2 linked regions of the Drosophila melanogaster genome follow. The protein of the gene in region 2 interacts with the protein of the main gene of each other region in a pairwise test. Each region holds a gene or a part of one and is shown on either strand. Other genes may lie near its edges.

What was found. The genes of interacting proteins can lie anywhere in the genome.
Region 1: the proteins of Sobp (region 2) and so interact in a two-hybrid assay, tested with the Drosophila melanogaster proteins (2 studies listed by BioGRID).

What each region holds. Positions count from the first base shown.
Region 1 is NT_033778.4:7,417,533-7,422,378, reverse strand, and holds the start of so (sine oculis), read right to left. Parts: upstream 3,030-4,846; 5' UTR 2,381-3,029; intron 1-2,380. UniProt on the Drosophila melanogaster protein: Required for visual system development. May transcriptionally regulate genes necessary for optic lobe invagination and Bolwig's nerve formation.
Region 2 is NT_033778.4:11,836,799-11,841,687, forward strand, and holds the start of Sobp (sine oculis-binding protein), read right to left. Parts: upstream 3,028-4,889; 5' UTR 2,556-3,027; coding exon 2,474-2,555; intron 1,241-2,473; coding exon 1,098-1,240; intron 1-1,097.

The sequences.
Region 1 (4,846 bases), 4.4 Mb from region 2:
ACTTTTATAAGATTTTAATTTGAATGTCGTGGAATCCCTGGAAATCTGAAAGCGGACACCTAACTCTATTGGGCTGTTAATCAAATTGAATTGTTCGAGCTGCCGTGGCTGCAAGCGTTGTTCGCCTAATTAGTTTGTAATCAAAGTCAGCTTACGATTGACTTGTTGATGGATTCGATTCAACTCGCAGGGCAGTTCCAAAGCCCTAAGTCCTAAGTGCACTTCGGGAACTCTGCAGGTGAAGTGTGCCCCAGCTCGAGGAGCACCCAGCTCAACTTGGAGCATGGTGCCATCGCAATCGCAAAAAGCACAAACAGTGCGCCTGTTTCTCGCGGCTAACACCGAAATCATCTGCTCCGGCGTCTGTGTTTATACAATGTAATCGAATGGGAATGGGATTGAGACTGTGACTGGGGATTGGGGATTGGGGATTGGGGATTGAGGACTGGGAAGACGTGTGCCATGCAACCTGTTGTGGGCCAGCCCCCGTTCCGGGTAATTCGAACGGCTTTCTGGCCGCTGGTCGGGATTAGTAAGCGCTGCTGCTGCCAAACGGTCGAGACAATCGCTGCTATCCGCCAGATACTATTTTTAACATTTTCCGTTTAATTGCCGCGTGAGGGAGCTACGCACAAAGAAATCGAATAGAGCGCGGCGCAATGAATGAAATTTGTCAATTTAATGGGTTGCACACACATGTGTCTCTGCCTCCGCAGCCGAATGTATCTGCATCTGCATGTCGGCTGCTTTTCGCCTTGCTGCGCCGCATTTGCCAAACTTTGAATGAAACTGAAGTGCACTGGTCGAAAGTCCCGCCGGTGGGGAGCTCGTCCCCAAATTACGACGGATTCTGCACGCCGGTGCGTAAAATGATCAAAGCTGCTGCGGCCAAACTTGCGTATCTGTATCTGTTTCTGCCCGAGTCCCGAATCTAGGCGAATGGAATGCGCAAATTTGTCAATTTGGCCACTTCCGAGATGGAATCCACATGGCTGGTATCTTGATGATCCGAAATAGGCAACCAGAACCGTACGCAACATCTGCTCCCATCTCTGCACTCAATTAATCATTCGACTTCTGACGACAAACACGCGTTGGCCAATTCGTTTAAACGCTCCCAATCCCCCGAATATCGCAAATATCGAATTTAGCCGGACAAAAGTGGGTCCACGCCCACTCATCCTCACACGAAGTACAAAAGTTGTCGGCCAAACAGTCGCTATAGTTAATAATTTCATAAATTTTGTGGCGAGAAACGAAATGATAAAGCCAAATGGTTTCATAAATAAACACTGTGTGCGTTGGTTTCGAGCACCAAACGGTTGGAAAGCCTTTGCGATGAATGAATGACAACTGGAAACTACTTTTCCTTTGGATCAAATCCATCTCATATCTTTTCCTCTAATTAATAAATACATCTGAGGTGGGTGGGCCGTTGAGTAGCCAACTTGGAAACGTGGAAAACTTAGAAAAAAATTGAGCGGTGAATAAAACAACAGAATTTTTCTTTTGGTGTGTAAACAAGTTTCCTTTCCAAATATAAGTGAACATGCAATTCCCGTGCTTTTGCCTTCGTTTCGATTCCCTCAGAATTGCTTCTCAAGTGCCTCGAGTTGGTTTTCCGATGGCTTTTGGCCATTTGGAATTCGCCAATGCCACGCCGCCAAAAAGCGAAGTGCACTTTGGCTCTCAGCTCTCCTCATTGAAATCGGCAAAACGTTGTGAATCTATGGACTTCGATGATAGATTGATCCATTAGAAAGCGGATAGAGATACGCCGTGACATTTATGGACTGCATTAATGTTTTCGCTGCACACGCTTTAAAGGCTATTTAAAGCACTAAAATATATTTTTAAATGAAGTCTTCAAATAGGCAAAGTGATTGATACTTTCTCAGAGAACTTTAGGCTTTTCTAATCAAGAATAACGCTTTGCTGTAAGTTCCATTTTAACCGTATGGGATGTTTAATAAAAGGTCTATGTTCTATGATCTTATCTATAGGTGATAAGTGATTTCTTGAACATGTGGTTAGTTCTTCTAAGGCTTAGTTTGACCTATTGAAATTATTATTTTTCTGAAACTTTTGTATATATTTATGGTTTTATAATTTTAAGGTTCCAATATGGAAATGTATAATCTAATATTAGCTATATTTATTCACATAATCGTCCCGAAATTTATCATAGTTATTATATCTCCTTTTTCAAGTATCAATGCCAATTTTATTTTAAATTAATCCCCCATATACCATTCGTTTTTCTTATTGTGAAAGAATATCCGTCCTACTTATGCATCTACATATATTTTTGCCATGGTTTCTAGTGTTCCACAGTAAACTTTTGCCGTCGGCAGCATGAAAACTGAATCTCGCTGCTCACCTGTATTTTGATTATTTATTGTTGATACGTATCCGAGTTTGTTAGTTTTTGTTTGTTACTCTTTGTTTGGGTTTGTGCCTTTTGCCTTGGCTTTCCGATTCGACTTGTGCTATATCCGCAAATGTTAGAGTTGGCCAAGAAGGCGCTGATTTCGGCTGTGCGGCATTTCCTTGATTTGCATTTTGGCCAAACTCTTCAAATCGAAGCCATGTGCCGTTCGCGCACGCACACACTCTTAGTCGCGATCACACTGGGCACTAACTAACACAAGCTTGCCGTTGAATATTGCTCATACGCACTGTGCGAACACGTGTTGCAAATTACTTTTCGCGAAAACTTCGCTGTCCTGCGCGACTCGGACAAATTGCACCTGCAAATTTGGTGGGCAAAGCTGCGACGACAGCACTGAGGCAGTGCCAACAAAAAATGGCCGCCCGCGGATTGATTAGCTCAATTTTGCTCGCTTTTCTCTCGCTTCGTGTGCGTTTATGTGGCGCGATACTGATGCGTTCATTCAGGAAACACGCAAATTAAATATAACTTTGTGCGCGGGACGTCAAAAGACCGCCGGATCCGGCCTGGATTACTAAGCGAGCGACGTGGGTAGAACGGGCAGCGAACCGCACGCGACGGAATCTCGAAAACAACTGAGAACTCTCCGGTTCTCAAACCTAATCGAACCGAAAACGGCCGAGACAAAAGGCAGAAAATGGTTGGTGCCGCTGGCGGTGTGCGTGCGCCAGAGCGAGATGGCCGACTGGTCGTGCGAGTGTGTGAGTGAGCGAACACCAAGGGGGTGAACTGCACAGTGGGATGCACCGACACTTTGTGCGTCACTTTCCAAAAACGTTATAGGAAAATAATGGAATCAAGTGAAGCGAGACTTACATTCACTGACTTTTATAAAGTCACTGGGCACACACAGTTCATGATTACACATATATGAACTGATGATAACTCAGAATTCACTACGTTTTAGTTGTTTTCAATATCTTGCCTTTACAAGTGTTTTTATTTTTATTCTATTTTATTTTATTGTATTCTAATGTTTTCGTAGTAAGACATAGTACATTTTTCCGTTATTATATGCTATTGTATCTTCAAAACATTAGAAAATGGTTTTATATATTTTTAAAGTGGCTTACAATTAAGTTAAGTTAAGTTAAGTTAATTGGACAAATATTTTTATAAACGTGTAGCCATTGAATTTGACACACGGTGCCAATCGACAACAGTTTGACAGCCACTGCGAGAGGGGCAGCGTGCGAAAGAGCGAGAGAGCGCATAAACAGGTTGACCGAAAGAACGCCCCCTCGGCTTACCTGTTCGCACACACACACACACACACACACACACATAGATGCCCTCACGCACACCGGCGCACTGGAGGACAGCAACGTGCTGATTGGTCAGCGGAAACGCATGCCAGCAAAAAGGCATGCGCATTGGGCGCCATATTGAAAGGCGGAAATCGGAGGTGATTGCAACTGCATCGCTGCTCCTCCCCAGGAACTCCTCATCCTGGCTGAAAGGATGCCCGGTGCAATAGCTGCCATCCTACAATGCCGTTTGAATTACTCACCGCAATAGTTCCATGCATCTCTCGTATAATTGCAATTACTGGCCTTTTCTCATATTCATTCACTCCACTTTTTTGGTTTAACTCAACCTTGTGGTCCTTCCACATTAGTGCGGTTTGCATTGTATTATTTAATGATTCCGAAGGAGATGAAGCCGTTTGGTAATTGAAGCCAACTAATTGTGTTAATGATTTACTAATATATTTAGTTTACTAAATATTTACTATATACACAGGCTCCTTTCGTCTTCAAGTCCTTGTTCATGATAACTGAAATAACTTGAACCTAATTTAATTTCAAACTATTAACATGATCTAGAGACACCTGTACAAAGTGCAGCGATGCGTTCAGAATGCCTAACTTTCTTTTTGAATACAAATAGTCAACTTAAATCACAGAGTACTACACTGCTTAGTGAATTTTGTAGATGGTAATTAATGTAATTAATGTAAATTAATGTAATTAATGTAATGTAACGCTAAATGTATAGAAATTAGTCAAAGTACCTGTTGTTGGAGGAACCGCTTAGACAAATGGTATTATTTTCAGCACTTCTTTATTAAAATTCTGTCCCATTTATCGGTAGCTCGATCTCAGCGTGTGCCGTGAAAATCGCATCGAGGACCACCCAAAATGCAAATTCGGAAACGGAGCTGGGAAACTCGATCGAAATCCAACAAAGATGATGGACTAATGGGGCGCCAGGCCGGTGCACCTAATCAAGATCGGCAACTGCCCACACAGATCAGATGCCAAGTGAAGATCCATACCGCTGGCGATTTCAGTATCGTTTACAGCGATCGATAAGGTTTTGGCGCCAGGCCTCGACAGTCACCGATAGCCAAAATAAGTGTTAAAAAAATTAGGAAATCGTAAAATTTACATA
Region 2 (4,889 bases):
GGGTATGATTTCCATTCGCCGATCGGGTTACACGTGCTGCAAAAATGTTGCTCTGCGACTCTCTGTCCCTGTCTGTGGCATTAAATTAATTTCGCTCATTTGCCGGATGGAGCAGAAGCGTAAGGGACTGCGGACAGAGAGGAGCGGATGGATTCCGAATCGGAATCGGACCCGCTCACTCGTTAAAATGATTATAAAAACTTATCAATATAAAATTACCGCCAACTCCCGCTCGACTTACGAGCTCGTCCCGTAATCGCGTAATCACAATGGCAATCGGAATCCGAATCCGAATCTGAATCTGAATCCGAGTCTCCTCAGCTGCAGCGACCGCTAGCAACTCCTCTTTCAAATTCCGGACGCGGATTCAGATACAAAGTTGCATGGAATTTAATGTAGCACTTTTGAGCGGGGGCGGTAGCGGGGCGTTGCATTATCATTGGCTCTTGCATAAACATTTCCAAATAGCCCAACAGTCAACTGAGACGAACTGAACTGCACTGAACTGCGCTGAACTGAAAGCCGAAACGATTTTTGGTTCTCTGGCCGAGGGATTTGGAGTCGGATTCTTTGATTTCAGCGCTTAGTTGGAAGTGCTCTTTGGCTGGAATCGCTGGATTCGAGCTTGTAAGTGGAAACTATGTATGAGCAACATGCAGTTTACTAAATATTTTTGCGTTCGCTAAGGATGAAATGGAAATATGTGTTCTGCGGCAAAGGTAGTTACGTATATCATGAGCACACATTTTTATAGATATTTCCATGGCAACTACGAGATACGAGATCCACTTCAAAGCCACTCTAAGATATAGACTCCAAGATATAGACGCGCAACTGGCGAGTGGGTGTTATTCACCTTTCCCCCATCCAAACACTCGGAAACAAACAAATAATAATTATTCTGCGTATATGCAGCTCGCAGCTATAGAAGCCAAATGTTTTGCCAAGAGCAAAGAAGAACGTTCTTATTTTTAAATCCAACGCAAACTTTGTCAGCATCCTTGTTATTGAATACGCGGCGAAATAATGCGCAGACAGGGGCAATTAATTAGACGGCAAGAAAGTATCTCAAAGTGTTCATTCATACATTCACTCACCTTTATCTCATCGCTGGGCAGTTCTTTTTTGATCTGAACGGGAATCGCACTCGAGGATCCCACGTTGGCATCCCGAGAAGTGGACGATGGCGACGTCTTGGCGGACATTTCAACTGGATGCGGTATATAACTTTCGGGTGAAACTGGAACACAAGAGAGACCAGGGGTCAGAGTGGAGCCAGCCAGATACTTTTTTGGTTTTCTTTTTTTTTTTTTGAGGGGGATGTACATATTAATAGGGCGCCGAGTCATTGATCTTGCCACTGTAAACAAATGAACTTTGGCTCCATCAATCAATGGATCCAACTGCTCTGCCCCCAAAACAATTAATTACAGCGATTCATAGTTCTTTTTCGGATATTTCCTTGTGCCCTCCGCTTTGCAGGCCGATTCGCATCCATTGGATACGCATGCGGCAGAATCGGACTGCGATATATTTATACACCTCGCTCTGCATGTGTGTTTATCGTGTGTGTGCGTGTGTGTGAGTATCTGTGAGCGAGCGTGTTCGCTTGGCGCGCACTTTGGTGTCTTGTAATTCAATACCCCGTTCGGAACGAAACGTTACCACCTATCGCATGACACAAGACTACAAATTCAAATACAAAATATAAAGGCAGCACAACAAGAACACAGCGGATATATGCATAGTGTGGCCTGTATTTGTTGTTCTTTCGGAGGAAATCAGACAGAAAAGACGAAAATGTAGTTACACAGAAAAAAATATATCGCTATATTGATGTGGTTTCAAGCGGCGGGATTTCAAAGCACATTTCCATTACGAGTTTGCATAGCTTTAAAGTTTAGTTTAAGAATGTAAACAGAACTATATTTCATTTTCAGCTGTGCACCTAGAAGGAAACTATTCCGAATCTGAAGGGAATATTTTGTGTATCCAAAGTTGAGCAATGGGTATTTCCGGAAATGTTTTAGCTATAGATCTGAATTCAATCCCTCATTGAGTCCCTTAAATTTCATTAAATGTATCTCCATTGTTCATCTTAAATGCGTTCTTGCCTCGTTCTGCCAGATATATCTACCCGATTTCATTATTTTTGATTGCCCATTAAAAACATTTCACTCTGGCTGTTCTTTTGCCTTGGATTCATTTCGTTCTTCTTTTTTTCGTACTCTTATTTTTCTGATGGCTTTGTTTTGCTTTCGAAAGCTTTTCGAAAATAAAATGCAAGTCAAGTTAAAGCGTATATCTCGTATTTTTTAAGCATTATCATTTCTCGAGGTTTTTTGTGTATTGCTTCACTTGAGGTACAAATTTTTCAATGCATCGTGTGGAAGAAACAAATATATATTCCAAAAATAGCCAGATATTTTCAACATTATATTTTTGGCGTGTGTGCTTTTCAGCTCTCACTCACAATTGGCCTTTCTGCTTTCGCACGCTCTTTTCAGTTTTCTTGCGATGGATTTTCCGAAGCAACGAACGTCAAGGAAACTCATGCACCGTGCTCATTTTCATTCCTCTTTCTTCAGTTTTCACTTTCACACATGCACGGCCCGAGAATTCGTTTCGAATCAACCGTTTAATCCGACCAAACCGAATATACCGATTCGCGTTCACAAATTTTTTTTTCGAAGCGGTACCGCGCACATCCACGTCCACACGCGTTCGCGTTTCATGAACATTTGAGCCAGCCGTCCGGTGGCATGTGGATTTTACTTGCTTTTGCTGCTTCTCTGCTGCTTTTGCTGCTTTTGCTGCTTCTCTGCTGCTGAGTCGCTGCCTCGCTGGCTCGGTGTTGTTGCCTTCGTTCCTTCGTCATCGTTGTGGCGCAGCTGTGGGTCTGATGTGATGACGTAGCGCCCACCCCCAATGGGACCAAAACATCAGCCGCACAGCGAAAAATTATATACTTTCAATAACTTAGATAACCGTAGATCTGCTACGAGTTTTTTCTAAGTTTGTACAGGCTAGCAAAATTTGAAGTAGAATATTTATTCATTTTGCAGTGATAATTTCAGAATTCATACGGTTTTTTAATATGATTTGATGGTTTAAGAAAAGTTTAATTAAACAGCGTGTCATATTTATCTTATTTTCAATTAACAAATATACTTTAAAAAAAATGCAATATCAAATTGATGATCTTTCCTTACCCAAAAAAGTTTCAATAACTTACGCGTATTTTCTCGCAGTGCAATGACTCAAGAGAGCGGCGCAGACGCTGGCATCTCTGGCAGATGAAAACGAAAACGAAATTGCACTCGGCTGCAGCGCGAGATTCTTTTGCATAATTTGCTATATGTAGGCGCATTGGGCAGTTAAAAATAAATCTCACCGCTTCACCTGCCTTCGTTTTGTTCTGCATCGGATATTTATGTTATGTTCAATTTTTGTTTAATTTGCACAAAATACTTGTGCGCCGGCGGAGACAAACGCACTTGGTCAGAGATCAGAGAAACGGCTGTGGGAAATTAATGGGGAGCATCTTAAGTAACGCGAGGAGAAAATGCATTTTGACAGCCAGAAAGGTCGAAAATGGCGTGCCGAGGATAAATTAAATCGATATTGATCATCCGATTGGCTAAATTCTATGCCAAAATTAAACTTAAATAAATTTCAAAGTATATGAAATACGTAAAGTATAATTTGTAGGATATTTCCACCTAATTTAAAGTGTAAACTTTAAACTTTAAGATATATTGTAAACTTAAAGATACTTTAAAAATATTTCTAACTTACAATATCTTTTTAAGTTTTTATGGTTTTTTTTATATAAATATTCTCCGCGTAAAAACAGACGGTTTGACTCTACTTCTAATAACACTGAAATATATATTAGATATAATATCTAACCTGGTTGATTCACATTCTCCATAGGGCCCAACTGCTGGCCAGCAGAGTTATTGGTCACTAGACGTGACCATGGCACTTGGCTTGGAAAACAGTTGGCAATTCTATCAAGAAACCCGGTACTTGGGGGAGAACTTACCACTAGCCGACGCCAAGTACCAACTATCAGGAGATAGTACCAATCCCTTGGCGAGTCTGGTACCTGATGGTAAATAAACGGAATGGTCGAAGAAACAATTGAATCGTTTAAGTAGAACATCACAATCAGAGAAGAAACAGGGGCAGAGCAGCTGGCGTGCCAATCAAACAATGTGCTCATGTAGATAAATGTGGCATTTAATGCCGAGAATTTAATTTGATTTGAACACGAGCCAGATAAATTTAGTGTTGGATGTCACTTCGTTCGTTCCCACGCCGCATCAATGCGCAAAAACATAAGTTTGTTAGGACATTACAACAATTTAGTTTATTTCTGCGACTGACTCATTAGTGGCGGTTGATGAAATGAGATTTTAACATAAATTGCTGTTGGCTTTCGCTACAAATTGTTTTCCTTTGCCCTATAATAATTGATCACTTTAATAACAGGTGAATTGTACTACAAACAACATTAATTTCATGTAGGAAAACCAATTAAACTAATTGAAAGTTAGTAAACTATAATAATGAAAGGTAAAGTTATTTTTAAGAATATACAAATTAAGTTCAGACACTATAAAAAAGTCTTCGATTATACGTATATAAATTATTATTTATTTTTATTAAATTTTCGAATTTTAAATTTTAGCGCATTTGTATAAGCCTATCAATATATCGATTGTTCAGTATAAGCTTAATAATAATCGGTCCTTCTCTATAATTCTAACATCTGACTATCATCAGCTGTTTTTGTTATGATTTTTCTTGACTAATTACAAATAATTTTTAAAATGACAGAATAACTTGAAAACTAAAAGAATAACTAATAATAATAATTCAAC